Tamandua tetradactyla: one gene and its partner. The protein of the gene in region 2 purifies or fractionates together with the protein of the main gene of each other region. This does not show direct contact. Links are inferred from orthologs where the notes say so. Each region holds a gene or a part of one and is shown on either strand. Other genes may lie near its edges.

What was found. Proteins that work in one complex are often made in the same cells at the same time.
Region 1: the proteins of DUSP4 (region 2) and MAPK14 purify together in Homo sapiens (affinity purification with mass spectrometry; 3 studies listed by BioGRID and IntAct, with this or other methods). This does not show direct contact. The link is inferred for Tamandua tetradactyla from reciprocal best matches to the Homo sapiens genes DUSP4 and MAPK14.

What each region holds. Positions count from the first base shown.
Region 1 is NC_135331.1:92,713,534-92,721,638, forward strand, and holds the start of MAPK14 (mitogen-activated protein kinase 14), read left to right. Parts: upstream 1-5,104; 5' UTR 5,105-5,565; coding exon 5,566-5,681; intron 5,682-8,105. UniProt on the Homo sapiens protein: Serine/threonine kinase which acts as an essential component of the MAP kinase signal transduction pathway.
Region 2 is NC_135352.1:14,470,253-14,477,777, forward strand, and holds the start of DUSP4 (dual specificity protein phosphatase 4), read left to right. Parts: upstream 1-4,456; 5' UTR 4,457-5,005; coding exon 5,006-5,426; intron 5,427-7,525. UniProt on the Homo sapiens protein: Regulates mitogenic signal transduction by dephosphorylating both Thr and Tyr residues on MAP kinases ERK1 and ERK2.

The DNA of each region.
Region 1 (8,105 bases), on a different chromosome or scaffold from region 2:
CCGCGGCCCGCCTGAATTTCAGTTTTATAACCATAAAATGACATGGTTGGACTGCATGATCTCTATGCATCACTTGTAGATTTAAAAATCTATTTTGCCCTTTTTTTTTTTTTTTAAGAAAATGAGGAGGACTTAATGAGGTTGGATATAGATTCATCTCTGGGAGCAATATAAACATTCTTAATAATCTATGTTTTTGTAAAAGCACAAACTAAAATTCTTTAAAATAAATGTGAAGTACATACACATTACACAGCTATAAAATATACAGGTAAATACTCAAGTTATGTACACAAATAGTTCTTTATGGGTGAGGCTATAAGCAAGTTCAATGTACCAGTAACTTGGTTTTCCTTCAGGATGATCATATATCATCTAAACTGGGAGAAAGGAGTAACTTTAGTGTTGAGGCCACCAAAAAAAGGTTGAGGCCTATTCCTGGAGGGTCTTGAAGGCTAGGTTGAATCTGAATTTTGTTTCATAGCTATTCGAAATGCTTGAGCAGGAGGAATAGTATTATAGGGATGCAGTTTGGGAAGGTGAATCGTGTCCGTGGAATGGTCTAGAGCTGTGCTGTCCAGTATGATAGCCACTGGCCACGTGACCATTTAACTTTAACCTAATTAAAATGAAACAAAAAATTCAGTTCCTCAGTTGCACTAGCCACGTTACAAGTGCTTAGTAGCTACATGTGGTTAGTAGCTATCTTGGTGGACAGCTCAGATATAGAACATTTTCATTATCACAGAAAGTTCTATTGGAGAGCACTGGAGATAGGAGAGACTGAGGCAAAAAGATAGTTGGAGACAATAATACAGTAGTCCAGGGAAGACCTAATGAAGTCATAAGCCTGTGTGGCCACAATGAAGATGGCAAGGAGGGGCAAGTGGAAAGCTATGAAGCTGGCTTAAAAGGACCTATCAAGTGATTAGCTAAAAGCAGCGAGGGAAAACACATGATCATGATTTCCTTTAGTCATTTTTGTTTTATTCCCCTCTGGAATTTCTCCAGCTCAGTTATATCTTTTGTGATTTCATAGAAACCCTTATGGCTTGTTTGCATGCATTAGCAAGACCTTCCCGACAAGATAAGCAGACCAGAGGCTATTACCTACAAGTGGCAGATGCACTTTGGTGTGAAATTTGGCAGATGCATATTTCAGAAAAAAGAACCCAAACCACAATGATGGGATGATGATGTTTCAGCTAAGACAAGGAGGGTGTCTCTGTTAGCGACTCTTGAAAATCTCTGTCTAATGAGGCCACTGTACTCAGTGTGATCAACAGCATGCTAAAGCTTTACCCATAATCTTAAAGATCAGTGTCCACTTAGAAAACCATTCCCTGATGCTCTCTGCCATCAGACGGAATAGTTAGGTGGGTAATGCATGGGTCTCAACTACCTAAGCTTTCATTTTCTTATTCCACAAATATGATGTGTTTCCAGTATCTGGATTAACTCTTAGAAGTGAGAAATTAATCTCTGCTAATGAAACTTAGTCCCTGGACAAGTAGCATCAGTATCACTTGGGACTTTGCTAAAAATGCAAATTCATAGGCCCCTCCTAGACCCACTGAATCAGAAACTCTGAGGATGGACCCAGCAATCTGAACTTGTAAGGAGCCCTTCTGGTGATTTTGATATACATTAAGTATGAGGAATGCTATAAATATAGCCAATTATCTTAAGCCCTTCTTCCAGGGCTACATGAGCACTTTGGACTGAGCTCCTTCTCCCCCCATATTTGTCCCTTCCATCTGTCTATCCCTTCCATCCATCCCTCCATCCATTTGTTTACATAGTCTGTGTTCTGACTATTTTAAAAGTCAAGAACATAATTGAAATACTACCCAATTTTCTATTGACCCAATTCATATGAAATCCTGAAACCTAGTTCAGTTGCAAGAACATCTTTTCTCTGATATTGTCATCTATCATACATTCTCTATAATCATGGGAAGGCAATTTCATCTCCAAAATAAAAAAATAAGCATTTTTAATTCCATGTAAAACAGCTCTTGTCAGCCTAAGTTTTTATAGGAAATGTATTTGGAATATAGAAAAGGCACAGGCAAAGACCATTGTCTTTTAGTACTTTCAATGCAACTCTCTGACTAGTGACTGGCGACATAAAGAGGAATAATAAGACAGTGGCAGCAACCCTTAGGAGCTTACCATCGGACATGAAACCACTTTTAATGCAACACAATGGGTAATAGTAGTGGGTGTAGGGGCATGACACTGTTATTAGAGTAGGGTTGTTAAGAAAGCTTCAAAAGGGGGTACACTGAAGGATAAAAAAGGATCTGACAGGAAGAGAAAGGCGCAAGAGTGAGGGAGATCAGTCAGAAGAACCCAAATGAACAAAAACAGTGAGATCTGAAAGGACGCAGCGCTTCTGGGCAGGCAGGATGCAGAAAACGACTGGGGTGGAAAGGTGAGGTGCAGGAGAGGACTAATTCGGGGGCTCCTGACAATTCAGACAAGAGACTTTGAAGGGATTCCCCTTGCAAAACGCACACATCGTCTCTTGTCATTGCTATCCAACGCGGACTTCCAAAATAGAGATAATACTTCTGAAAGATAAGCTCCCATATATTCATTCATATATTGACTGAGGGTGCACGACGTGCCTGGCCTCGCCAGGGGACTTCGACTTGCAGAAAGCGACGATCCCTCGCCCACAACTTGCAGCTCCGAGCACTCGGCGTCTCTGTGCAGCCGCTTACCTGGTTCCCCGGCGAGGGCGGGTGCAGGCGCTGGGGTCCACCCAACTCAGGCCCGGCTGGCGGCGCTGCCGCGGCGGACGCCGGCGGTTCCTGAACCGTTGCCGCCGAACCCGCGGGAGTTCTGGGCGGGCGGGGGGAATGGGAGCGGGGGTGGGGATCCGCACCAGAGAGGTACCTGGGCCATACTTAATTCATTAAGTGAATTAACGAATGTGAAGCGAGGAGCATGAGGCCTGGCACAAATAGGCCTCCTATCAAGAATAGTGAAAGCTCGAGGCGATCCTAGGTTCCCATTCATTTAAGGTTTTATTCTTAATGGAGGGCTTACTTGGTGCCAGGCCTTATGCCCTTCACTTCACCTGTATTAATTCACTTAAATCCCGGGTCAGAAGAGTTTCGGACGGTAACTCACAAGCCTCCTGTCCGCACTGGAGAAAAGCACCCGCCCGGTTGCACCTGTTCTTCTGATCTGCACACACACACACACACACACACACACACACACACACACACACACGAGCGCGCAGGCACACACCCCTTCTGTACCCACCCCTTCAATCTCCCTTCCCAGTCACCATCTTTCACTATTCCTTGTATTTCTGCTTGGCCCTGTTGCAGTTTTACATTTGTTTGTCTCATTACCGTATTAATAGTTGAGTTATTATTCATTTTGTAAATTGTTTCACCTCATTTACAAAATGAGGTATCATCAGTGCCTAGAACAGTGAAGTGCACATAGTAAGCCTCAATAAAGTTGGGTTGAATGATTGAAGGACTGCCTTGCTGTTGATTGTAAATTCCATGTGGGCAGCAATGGTGTCTGATTTTTAATCATCTCTTTAATGAAAATGGCTGCCACTTAGTAGGCATTCAATATGCATTTGCTGAATGAGTGAATATATTGGTCACTTCGTCTTTACCGTTTCAATCACCCCCACTCCATCATCTCAGTTTACTGGATAAATATATGAATGTCTTAGGATTCTTACTTCCAAACCTCCCCATCGTTTCTTGCATCCACTCATCCTTTTGATGACCCACTCCCACCTTTCATTTCTCCACACTCATATTTTTGCCTTCACTCCCATTTTTACCTTCCATTACTTGTTAGAAAGTTCTTCGACCTGCAGGTTGGCCTGTTCTCAGGCAGTGTATCTTCACAGGCAAGAGAAACCAGGAGAACACAGGTTGAGTGCAAAAGCTTTTTCCTCAGATCGTCTATGACCTTGTTTTCCTGTTTTTTTGTTTGTTTGCTTTTTAATTTAGTTTTTCTTGAAGAGAACTGAGGACCCTGCACCATCTCCTAAATTGAGATCATGGCCATTTTTCATATTTTGTTAACCAATATTTGTGGAGTGCCAGGCAAAGTCTGAGCTCTCCAAAGGATGCATAACACAAAAGAGAATAATCATGAGGAGCGATGAGAAGCAGCCTGGTTTGGCCCTAGTTATGTCTAAGATAAATTCTCCTGCTCTTGTAATAATTTTGGCATAGGAACAGAACGCTAACTGGGGACAGGCATGGATTAGAATACCTTGCCCATTCACATTTATTAACCTGTTTAACTCTTACAAATGACCCGATTAGGTGGGAAGTAGGGCAGGAATTCTGTTTTGCAAAAGCTGGAACTAAGGTCTAAGAAAGGTCAATTGACTTGCCTAATGTGTTGTGGCAATGCGCTCTGTTGTCCAAACTGAGAGGCATGAATTATATGCTTAAAATCCTCTTCACTGGAACGTTCTTTAGCGTAGGAGTCAGTTTCAAACCCCGAAAAAATGCTTCTCAAAGGGAGTTGCTGGAGACTTTCCTGAATTAGATCCACCCAAGGTATATATACGGTAAAAATGATCACGTCGGACTTATTTAAACAGACTCTGGGTGGGTCCTGGGAATCTGCATTTTAAAGCAAACTTCCACAGCGATTCTTCTGCACACAAAAATTTTGGGTGGAAATTCTCAGCCTTGATATTTGCCCATAAAACAGATTTCTTCAGAATGCAGAAAAGTAAACCAAACTGTCCCTGAGCAGATGGGAATATAACTGTTTTCTGGTCAGAAACTTTCTCTTTTTTTATGCAGTTATTTCTTGGAGATCGGAGGTTCCGCTGAGCAGTCGCTCGGCTGCTGGTGCCTACACCCGTAGTCCCAAGATCTTTTGACCCTTTTCCCGACACTTTGTCCCTGTCACTTTCCAGCACCAGGCATTTCCCCCGCCGACCACAAAGAGGCGCACGTGGCAAGTACTGCCAGTCGCTCCACACCTTCCCGGTCCGCCTTCGCGCTCTTAAGCGAGACCAGACGCTGGGAGTTCTTGCCTCCCGTCTCTAGTTGTTGCTCTCGCGATAAGTGCTCTTCCCGTACTCTCTCCTTATGAGCCCCCTCCCGCGAGCATGTTCCATATTGGGTAAAATCTCGGCTCACGGAGTGTCCCGGGAGCTGTTCTCGCGAGAGTGCGGCGGGAGGCTACTGAAAGCTGGCTCTGGATCCGCTACCACAGGACCCTCAGCGGGCGCTGCAGCTGGAGCAGACATTTGGGCGTCGCTGCTTGGAGTCGGCCTGGTCGGGGAGAGGGTGCAGGGGGACTGCGGCGGGCGCAGCCTTGAGCTTTGGAGTGCGCCCTATCCTTAGTCAGGCTCGCCCGGGTTTCTGCAGCGCGTCCAGCCTCTGCGGGTGACAGGGGCCGCGCGCGCTTGTCGGTGGGGCCGCAGCAGCCGCACCTGCGCCCGCTGCCAGCGCGGGGTCCCGGCCGGGCGGGCAGTGAAGGCCGGCGAGCGGGTGCGGGCGCAGACGGGGGCCTCACTGGGCCACCTCCTCGCCTTGCGGCCGCCGCTGGAAGATGTCTCAAGAGAGGCCCACGTTCTACCGGCAGGAGCTGAACAAGACAATCTGGGAGGTGCCCGAGCGCTACCAGAACCTGTCTCCGGTGGGCTCCGGCGCGTATGGCTCGGTGTGGTGAGTATTCCCGAGCCTGAAGCCGCGTTGAGCAGGGATGGTCCCTCACGCCCAAGGGTCATGCCTACACGGCTCAGCGATGAGCCAAGCGGTAGGAATTTTCCTACGGGGAGGGCATCGCTGCGCATTTGAGTCCTTTTCTGCACCCCCTGCCCCTTACCCTGCACACCCGGGTTGGTGGTTAGCCGGATGCAGGACGCAGGTTCGCGGTGGGGTGGGGGTGGACAGAGCGGCGCCTGGAGCTCGGCCCTGGTTCCCCTGTGCGTTTCTTTTTGGAAGGCTGCTGCTCTGGGGTCTGGGACGGTGGCGGGGGTGAGGACTCTGCTGGCGTCAAGCAGAGGAACTCTTTCGGGGGTGCTCCCATCCTAGGGCGCAGGAACAGGCCCGGTGAACGAACAGCTTGGGGAGCTGCAGAGAGCAGCAGAAGGGCAAACCCGACAGGTGGACCGCAGTCATCTGAACAAAACTGACGAAGAAAGAACCCTCCCTGGGCTTTTTTTTTTGCAACCCTCTGTCGAAATCCCGTTTTGAGAAGCCTTCTTTTTGAATTCGCACTTGAATTAACAGCGACCCATAGAGCTTAAAATACTGACTTTATCTCCACCGTGCCAGCTTGAGTGGTGTGTTTCCGATTCGGTTGAAAGCGTATTTCCTCTCCGCCAAGGGGGGTGGGGTGGGGTGATAGTGCCTGCAGGAACACTGCATTTTAAGAAACAGGCCGCCTTAGTGGTTATTCACATACCATTGCTCATTTAAGTATTGTTTGACAAAAGTTTTTTCTTTTGGAGTAAGTGAGATAAAGGTCCGTTGAATGCCCTCCAGATGAAAAAGTTATTAACAGTGTTGGGAAATGTTATAAATATATTTAAGTTCGACAATTTTTGCAACTACAGGTTTTTTTTTTAAAGTTCCTTATGGAGAGTTTGCAGGAACTTATCCACATTTATGACCTGAGGTACATGATGATCTTCATAAGAATAAGGAACATACAGCAAAGGAAGAAAGAGACACTTGCAAACTCTAAATTTACAACCGGAGCGTGTTTTAAATTAAATTAATACCATAAAATTTCCAGACCTGAAATATTTCAGTAACTTCTCTTTAATTTCCAAGGATTCATTTTAGGTTTACTACGATTTCAGAGCGCCTGATCTGAAACTATCAGATTTAATTGTTAGCTTTAGTAATTCATGTCCATGGATCTTTTGAAAAAAGACCTGCAAAGTTATTTTTCTTTTTAGGAACAAATTCCAGATTTTTGAACGTGTTAATCTCTAAATATGATTCCTGTGTTCCTTAAAGCCACATCATGAATTTCCTGTTTGGTAGAATCTTCTGAGTAATTGAGATTGTGCAATTGTGAGTAACAACAGATCATATTGCGTTTCCTAGTTCAAGCTGCTTGAATTATGTTGCAGATGTCACCATCCTTTGACATCTTTCTCCCATTTTTACAGTATGGCAGTTAGCATTTTAAAATAATTTGCAGCATTTAACGTTCATTATATATATTTCTTGTTCATTTCCTAGTTTTCAAAGATGTATTTGGATCGTTGCTTCTTTAATAGCTCATAGATTTACTTCCATTTTTACATTCTTGAATTGATTCACTAATTTTTGTAGTATTGTTTTTGTTTCCAATGATGTTTAAGCTTTTAATGATGCAAAAGATTCACATTAGCTAAAGGAGTTTAGCTGAAAAGAAAGGTTTCGTTTTTGTGTGTCTCTGCAATGAAACAGGAGATTCAGATTTACGGTGAAATGTCCTTAAAATGAGCTCCAAATTTCTTTAGTACTCTACTTTGCTGGCTTATAGAAGCCACCAGTACCTGGCATCTGGAAGTAATTTTGTTAAACAGGTTTAAAAATAAGTAATACATTTACATTGTATAAAATTCAGAAGACATAAATGATACTCGGTGAAAAGTTTCTTTTCCTTTCTTGTTCCCCAGCCTCCCTGTTCCCTTCCCCAGAGATAACCACTGTTAAGTTTCTTGTGTGTCTTTCAGGGAGGCAGAGTTTTTCATTTGTTCTATTGTTTGTTCTGTCAAGGGGATTTAAGATGCAACTTAGAATATATTGGTGGGGAAAAATAAAACTGGAATTATATGAAAATTGACTATAAACAAATGTAACTGATTTTAGACTGAAAATGCCAGAATTAGTTTCATAAATGAATGCTTTCTTAGGCAGGGTAGTTACTTGAAGTTGCTCTTTTAGTTAGCAACTTTTCCAGTGTGACAGAAAAGTTTTTGGGAAATTTCTTAGAATCCACTTTGGTGCCTATGTAACTTTCTTCCATCCTCCTCCCTTGAGAGCAGATTGGATTTTAAGGACTAGTTAAAAGTCAAAATATATTCAAATAATTTAGGGGATTTGAATTGAAGACTGGTGAAAAAATTAGGCAGTTAGATTGGTGATACT
Region 2 (7,525 bases):
GCTGTTTCCCCACCGAGTGTAGCTTGTTTATTGAATGAATGAATGAATGTGAGACTATTTGCAGCTAGCGTCACCCAGAAAGAAAAGTCTAAAGTTCATTTTATCTTCTACTGGGAGAAGAGTTTGTTTCCAAAATTTGTTTTTGAAAACCCAAAGAGGTTTTATCAAAATGCATGCAATAGGGGTGCAAGGGTAGTTCAGTGGTAGGATTCTCACTTGCCACGTGGGAGACCCAGGTTCAGTTCCCTGCCCATGCACTTCCCCAAAACAAACAAACAAGTAAAACAAAAGAAAACACAAACAAACAAAAATTCAACAAATGGTGCTGCAATAACAGTCTACTCACATGAAAAAGAATGAAATACATGCATACAGCATACAAAAAACAAAGATGCATGAGATATCAGCACTTATACAAATAAAAACCTACGAGTTTATATTCCAAAGGACAGAAATGAGCAAGAAGAGTAGTTTTAAAAAAATAGTAAACGAAGCAATGCATTAAAACCCTTCTGCAGAAACCTTGGGTTACAAATCAAACATTCTAAGTAATTAGAAAATGCTATTGGACATTACATAGAAAATAAATGGAGGCCACAGAACACATCTGTGACAACATTAGGACTGAAAACCCTCTAAGCTGTTTTTGAGTTTTCTAGTGATGTTCAATCTATACGGTGAAGACTTTTCATCCCTTTTTGTCATCCTGACGATAAGCCTAAGTGGGCTGGGAGAAGGGGAATTTCTCAATTCCACTTATACAAGTTTCCCACGAGCACACTGTGTAGATACAGATATATATATATATACTCCGTTTTGAATAGCAAGAGATGGCCTCCCTGTTTGTTTGTTTTTAACATATTCCCACTACCAGAGGGGAAATTCCCCCAATCAGCTGATCTGAAAAAGCCAAGCTTACAAAGAACAGCTAAAATGGTTTGTTCCTGCTCCAGTTCATAGTAATAAGCAAGACTCCCTCTTTGTTCAAGAAAGGGAATCCACAGGACTTTCTTTCCATCACCACCTTGATTAATCCATTAATGATTTTTCAGGCAAGTCTTATGCAGGCAGGCACTGTGGGACAGGGCAGTGAGTCAGAGATGGGCACCAAAACCAGAATAGAAGCCATACTCCCCTGGGGAGTCTACTCTGGGCTTTAAATTCCCAGATCACACAACTTCCTAATTGGAAAGAAATGTTCTTAAAACAGGAGCAGCGGTTTTGCTGGAGCCTGACAGTGACTAATAAGGTCAGTTTAAGGACTGTCTGATGAAAGACAAGCCCGATTTCCATGCCACAGTGAATTTTAAAAGTATTTTTACCCCAAGCTTTACTGCAGAATATAAATAAAATACCTCCCCTTGGACAATCCCTTCCCGATTCCTGCAGCTATGCCTTCGTTAATTAAATTAACTTGAAATGACGTGCAAATAACGTTTTCCTATCAAATGCCTTTGTTTTCTCCAACATCTACTCAGTGACAAGTTATTTCAAAAGGTTCCTGTGTAAACCGATTGCTTCCCACCCGCAGCCTGCGGACTCACTGAAGACAATTTTTATCAACCCTGCGGGTAACCGATAAGTCCTCACATTGTATTGATTTAACTGGGGGCCAAATGGCCCACAAGCCTGGAATACACGCATACACGTTCTCTCTCTCTCTCTCTCCACACACACACACACACACACACACACACACACACACACACACACAACAGTGAGTTTTATTAGTATTCGGATAAATACAATAAGATAATTTAACTCTTACTTGGTGAGAGTCAAACAATTGAATGCCAATTCCTGAATTTGGGGAAAAATCCTTTTTTTTTTACAGTAGCTTCCTTGATAAACCAGGAATTCGCATTCGCGATTAAAGCGGATCTGAGCTTGACAAACTACATTAAGTCCTAAGTGGTGGCTTCTACCCCCACCCCCACCCCCACCCCCACCCCCACCCCCACCCCCACCCCTAGGACGCGGGCGCGGGCGCGCAGGCGCACGGGCGCGGGCACGCGCACGTGGACACACACTCAACACGCGCCTGCCTGCACCTCTTTCCGTGTGAATCGCCCGCGGGATTTTAGGGGCTTCGCTACCTTGGATTAGTCAAGTGCAGAAAGCAACTGTTTGTTCCTTGGGCACTTTTCTCCCCCTAGATTTGGCTGTTATTTATGCGCCACGTGCGGCGCAGGGCGCGATCCCGAGGCGGGGAGGAGACCCCAGCGCCTGGTAGACAAAGGCCAGCGGAGCGCGACCGGTGCGGCCCTTGGCTCCCGCGACACGTGTGATATTGGCTCTTCCAAGAACAGAGAGGCTCTTCCAAGAACTGTCCTGTCAAAGCCCTTGTAAAGCAAACGGAGTTTCTTTGGGCCGGAAGAGCGGCGGCCCGCGGGCGCGGCGGGGGCCGGGTTCCAGAACTACGGGAGGGCGGCCCCGGGAAGCGAAAGTGCCCCGGCCGGTTAGGGCCTCTTTGCAAGGGGACTTCTTTGAAAAGGCGGGCCCCGGGTGCATTAGCGAGAGCGAATCCTTAGAGCCCCACAGCCACCCCGGCAGAAAGAGAAACGGGTTAGGAGCCTCCTTTGCCCTTCGGAAGAAGGACCCGCCCCTTTCCTTCGGAGAGTGCGCCTTTAACCAGCGACCTCCCACCCTGGGTGCCAGGGGGGGGAGGGGGGGGGGCGGCTACTGCCGCCCGCCGCCTGGAGGTGTTCGCAGTTGGGATCCTCTTTCCAGGGCTAGGACAAAGGTGAACACCCATCTCCGGCGCAAGATTTAAGGGGACTCCCCAAGTAGTCAATAATCAGAATAAATAGTATTTGGGTGCAGTGGGTTTTTAAAAATCAAAATTAATGTAGAAAATTCATGATGAACAGTATTTCGAAATGTTTCAGTGAAGACAGGATCAGTACGGTGGTGTACGGTGACATATTGGGAGTCTAAGGCAAAAAGGAAAGATCCCTCTCGAGCCCGAACCTGGCTGGGCTGCCGGTGCCTTCGGGACGCAGGGGGAGGGGAGCCGGGGTCGAAGGCCTCGGAAGTGAAGCCCCTCCTCCCGGGGTCGGGTTGGGGAGAGAAAGGGCTGGCCCCGGGGGGCGGAGATGAGGGCTCCGGCTGGCCGCTCTGCAGCAAACAAAGGCGGCAGAGGACGGAGGGTGAGGAGGGGACAGGAGGTACCCTGCGGTCCTCCACGCGCTACCTGAAATGGGGACACTCCACCCCGCTGTCCCCGAGGCCGCGAGCAAGCCCGGTGATTCCCCTGCGTCGGTGGTTAATTCTCTAGAACAAGTTTTGGCAAGATGTCGGGCGAATAATTTGGGGGCTGCTGTTGGGTCCCCACCGCTTGCGCGCAAGGGCGTCTTTTGAGAAAATGAAATGCAAAAGGAAAACTGTGGGGGGGAGGCGGGGGGGAAGAAGAAAAAAAAAGGGAGAAATGCTACATGACCTGGAAAGATGGATGCACAGAAACCGGAATCGACTCTAGAGCTTATGATAGCCTTGTAAAAAAAGTCATTCTTTGCGTGTAAATTTCACAGGGATATAGTTGCGCACCATATGTGGATCCTAATTGTCATTTTCTGAGAAAACCGTTCATACGTGTGCAAGCTGGGGTCAGGATTTTTCCCAAAACCTAAAACGCCGATTCCCCCCCCCCCCATCAGGGTTAAATAAACATACTTTAGGAAGCGTGGAAGGGAGTGACACCCCTGCCCTCCTCCCCGGGAATAACATTCCGGCAATTAATGCCTCCCTCTGGGCTGTAAAACAACAAACCCCACACGTCACTTCTGTTCCCGGGACTTCGGAGAGGGGGGACTTTCTCTTTCTTCTTTTAAGTTGGGGTTGACCCACGCTCCTCGGGAAGCTGTCAAGCTGGATTTAATGGTTTAAGATGGAAATCGATCGCACTAATGCAGAAGCCTACGTCTGCGGGCCGCATTAAAAAGACGCCCGGCCGGGCCGGCCCAACACGGTAAGTCTGGGGCGCAGAGGATCCTCTCCAGTCTGGGGAGATCACTGCGAGGGGCGGGGGGAGGAATGGAGAGGTGAGGCGCGGAGAGAAAAAGAGGAAACCTTAAACTCCGCCGCTGGCCTCCGCTGGGGCGGCTTCTCGGAGGTTTGCTTTGAGCCAAACGCGGCCCAGGGCGCGGGGTGGAATGGTTGCAAGGCGACTTGTGCCGGGGCAGGAAGCTCGAGCCGCGGAGGCCCGGTTCCATTCACAAAGTCCCGGGGCTGCCACTCGCCGGCGGGTCGGAGGCCGCCTCCCTCTTCCTCTGGGTCTCGGTTTTATGAATGGACCTGGCGGAGAACGCCGAGCTCCCTGTTTACTCCGCTCTTTGTGACGTCGCGTTCCCGTGACTGGTCGCGAGCCGTCGGCGCTCCATTCACGCGCCGGGGAGGCGGGGGGGGGGGGGCCAGAAGGCGGGGCCCGCGAGGTCGAGGGACAAGAGATGGGGGGGTGGGGGTGGGGTAGAAGCGCGAGGCCCAGAATGGAAAGAGGCGGGGCCTCGCGAAGTAGTAATGACTCTCCTCCCTCCCTCGGGAGAGCCGAGGAGCATTAATAAATCTATAAGCAGAGGAGGAAACTCGAGCTGGGGCAGTGCGCGGAGCTTCATTGGTGTGTAGGCAACGGCGGCCGGCACAGCAGCGCCGGCGGCAACAGGAGCAGGAGCACCACAGGCTGTACAATAGAAGCGACGACAGAAGGGAGCCCTGGGCCCTCTCCTGTAAACACTCTCCCCTGCACTGCCACGCCACCTCCCCCTCTGCGCTGCGCGTCGTCCTGCCTGGCGCCCGAGGCCGCTTAAAACTGCTATGTAACCTGGTGACTGCGGGAGGAAGGGGGACTGGGGAGAAGAGGTTCTCCGGCGGTAGCCATCGGGGACCAAGTTGGCAGTGGTCACTTCGGCACGCGTCCTTCCTTAACCCTCGCCCGCCCCTTGCTCCAGCCCAGCTGGCCGGGCTGCCCTTGGCTTCCTCGCGCACCCAGCAGTCGCGGTTCCTGGAGACCATGGTGACGGTGGAGGAGCTGCGGGAGATGGACTGCAGCGTGCTCAAAAGGCTGATGAACCGGGACGAGAACGGCGGCGGTGGCAGCCACGGTGCGCTGGGGCTGCTGAGCGGCGGCAAGTGCCTGCTGCTGGACTGCAGACCGTTCCTGGCGCACAGCGCGGGCTACATCCGAGGCTCGGTCAACGTGCGCTGCAACACCATCGTGCGGCGGCGGGCCAAAGGCTCGGTGAGCCTGGAGCAGATCTTGCCCGCGGAGGAAGAGGTGCGCGCCCGCCTGCGCTCCGGCCTATACTCAGCGGTTATCGTCTACGACGAGCGCAGCCCGCGCGCCGAGAGCCTCCGAGAAGACAGCACCGTGTCGCTGGTGGTGCAGGCGCTGCGCCGCAACGCCGAGCGCACAGACATCTGCTTGCTCAAAGGTAAACCCGGGTGGCGGGGCGCGGGCTGGGGTGTACACGTAGCGCGATTTGTCGGCCTGCGTCTTTAGTGGCCGAGGGAAGGAGTGACCGGTGGCTGCGGGAATCCCCCGCGCGCTCTCTGTGCGTGTTAGTGTGCACGGGCTTGCAAGGATTGTGCGAGTTTTTGTGCGCGTGTGAGAGCTTCCTAAGCCTTGGCGGACGACACCGGAGCGCTCCTTCCGTCACCCGCCGCACCCTTCTTGGCGATTCCGCGATTATTTACACTCACTAACGGTTTCTTGCCTCTCAAGGGGAAAGCTCCTCCCGTGCGCACGGCTCATCTGCTAAGTACTGGGAAGTGCCCCCAAGTACCACAGCGCGGGTGGGGACAGAATAGGCCTACTTGTTTGGCTTACCCCGGCTCTACACTACGTCCGATCCCGAACTCCAGAGGTGGGGTGGGGGGTGGGGGACGGTGAAGGAGTGTGGGCGCCGGGGGGGAGGGGGATCGACCCCGCCGGATCGATTTTGAAACCAGGCCTTGTTAAGTGAAACGCGGATCGGGTTGCAGACCTTGTGTGGAGCGATCTGTATCTCTTCTCCCGATGCTCGACTCGGAGGTCCGCCTGGGAGATGGCCAAGTTCCCCACCGCCCCGGCGCCCGGCTAAACCCTAGCTAGACCCGGGCTCCGGGAGCCGGAGGCGGGAGGATTGCATAGGTGCGGGACGCTAGACTGGGACCGTGCCTCTCCGGTTACGTAAATCCGGCCAGCGGAGTCTTAGGGTCTTTTGTTCTGACATAATTCTCGATTATCTGATGGTTTCTGCTTGATTTAAATGAACCCCGGAGAGACCTTTCCTCTTTGGAGGTGTCCGAGGGTGGTCTTGTCAAATCCAGATGTAGGAACAACCCAAAAGGACTGTGTCCCATCCAAGTAACTGGAAGGACGATGCGCCGGTCGCAGCCGAGCCCGCGGCCGCACCTGCCGGGACTTGCCCATCGGCCGGCGCCCCTCGCGCTGGGGAGCGGGCAGGGCCCTGGGGGCTGCCGCGCTGCACCCCTTGCTCCCGCCACAGCATTCCGCGCATTCTTCCGCTTTAGTCGGCTTCTCGCCTGCGAACCCGAGAGGCGTTTCTATCCCGGTCATCAAAGAGCCGCCGCGGTTCCTGAAGGCGGCCCTGGCCTCTCGCCCCCCCGCCCCAACCCCTTCCCTCCTAATCGGAGCTGTTCACTCGAGAGGAAGGGAGCTGGAGCGGGGGACGGAAACCTACCGTCCCCCACCCAACCGCCCCCTCGAAAAAGCACAACAAAACTGCTCAGTGCCGACAGGCCTGGTCTGCCCCTGGCGAACAGCGGGGGGCTTTGTTCTCGGCAGTTGTTTCCTGACCATTTGACCTGTCAGCTGCTGGGGAAATGCTGCTGTTGACCTTCGGTTGAACCACTAAGGCGATTTTGCTGATTTTTCTTTCTTTTTTCCGCTAGGGCCACCTTTTGCACCACCCTTTGAGCCAGCTCCCTTCCCTCCCCAGAGCGCCTTGAGAGAAAGTCCCCGGAAGGGGCTTTGACCCTAGGGACCGGCATCTAAGCCGGGGGCGCGCTGGGCGCTGGAGAAGGGTCTATCCCGCCTGCGCCCGAACGTGGAGCGGTGCCGAGGAGCCCCGCGCCGTGCTACCCCGGTGTCAAGTCACTGGTTAGACCACCGGCGTAGGTGGTCTGTGCTATTGTTTGAAGATGTCAAACAATCACCAGCTGGCGCTGGTGGGAAAGAGGAGAGAGAAAGTCCTCTGGGTAGGAAAGTCCCACTAGAGTGGGTCGGGGCTGCCCAGGATGTGTTCTGCGCTGAGCTGTCCCCCGGCTCCCGGTCCCCTTAATGTAGAGCCTGATTCGGGCGCCTTCCCTCCGGGGCACTGAACCGAGAAGCCTTCCTGCGGCGGGGCGAGGGCTGGCCTCTAGCCCCACGTGGAGTCTGGGTTTGTTTTGTTTTGTTGTTCTTCCTGAAAGCAATCTGGAGGGGCCCACCTTAGAACGGCAGCTCCGGGACCTTGGCCCCGCGCCTGGGAGAGAGGCTTGGTTTTAGGGTTTCCTCTCTGGGCTCGCGACCTCTCGCTGTCCCGGTGCA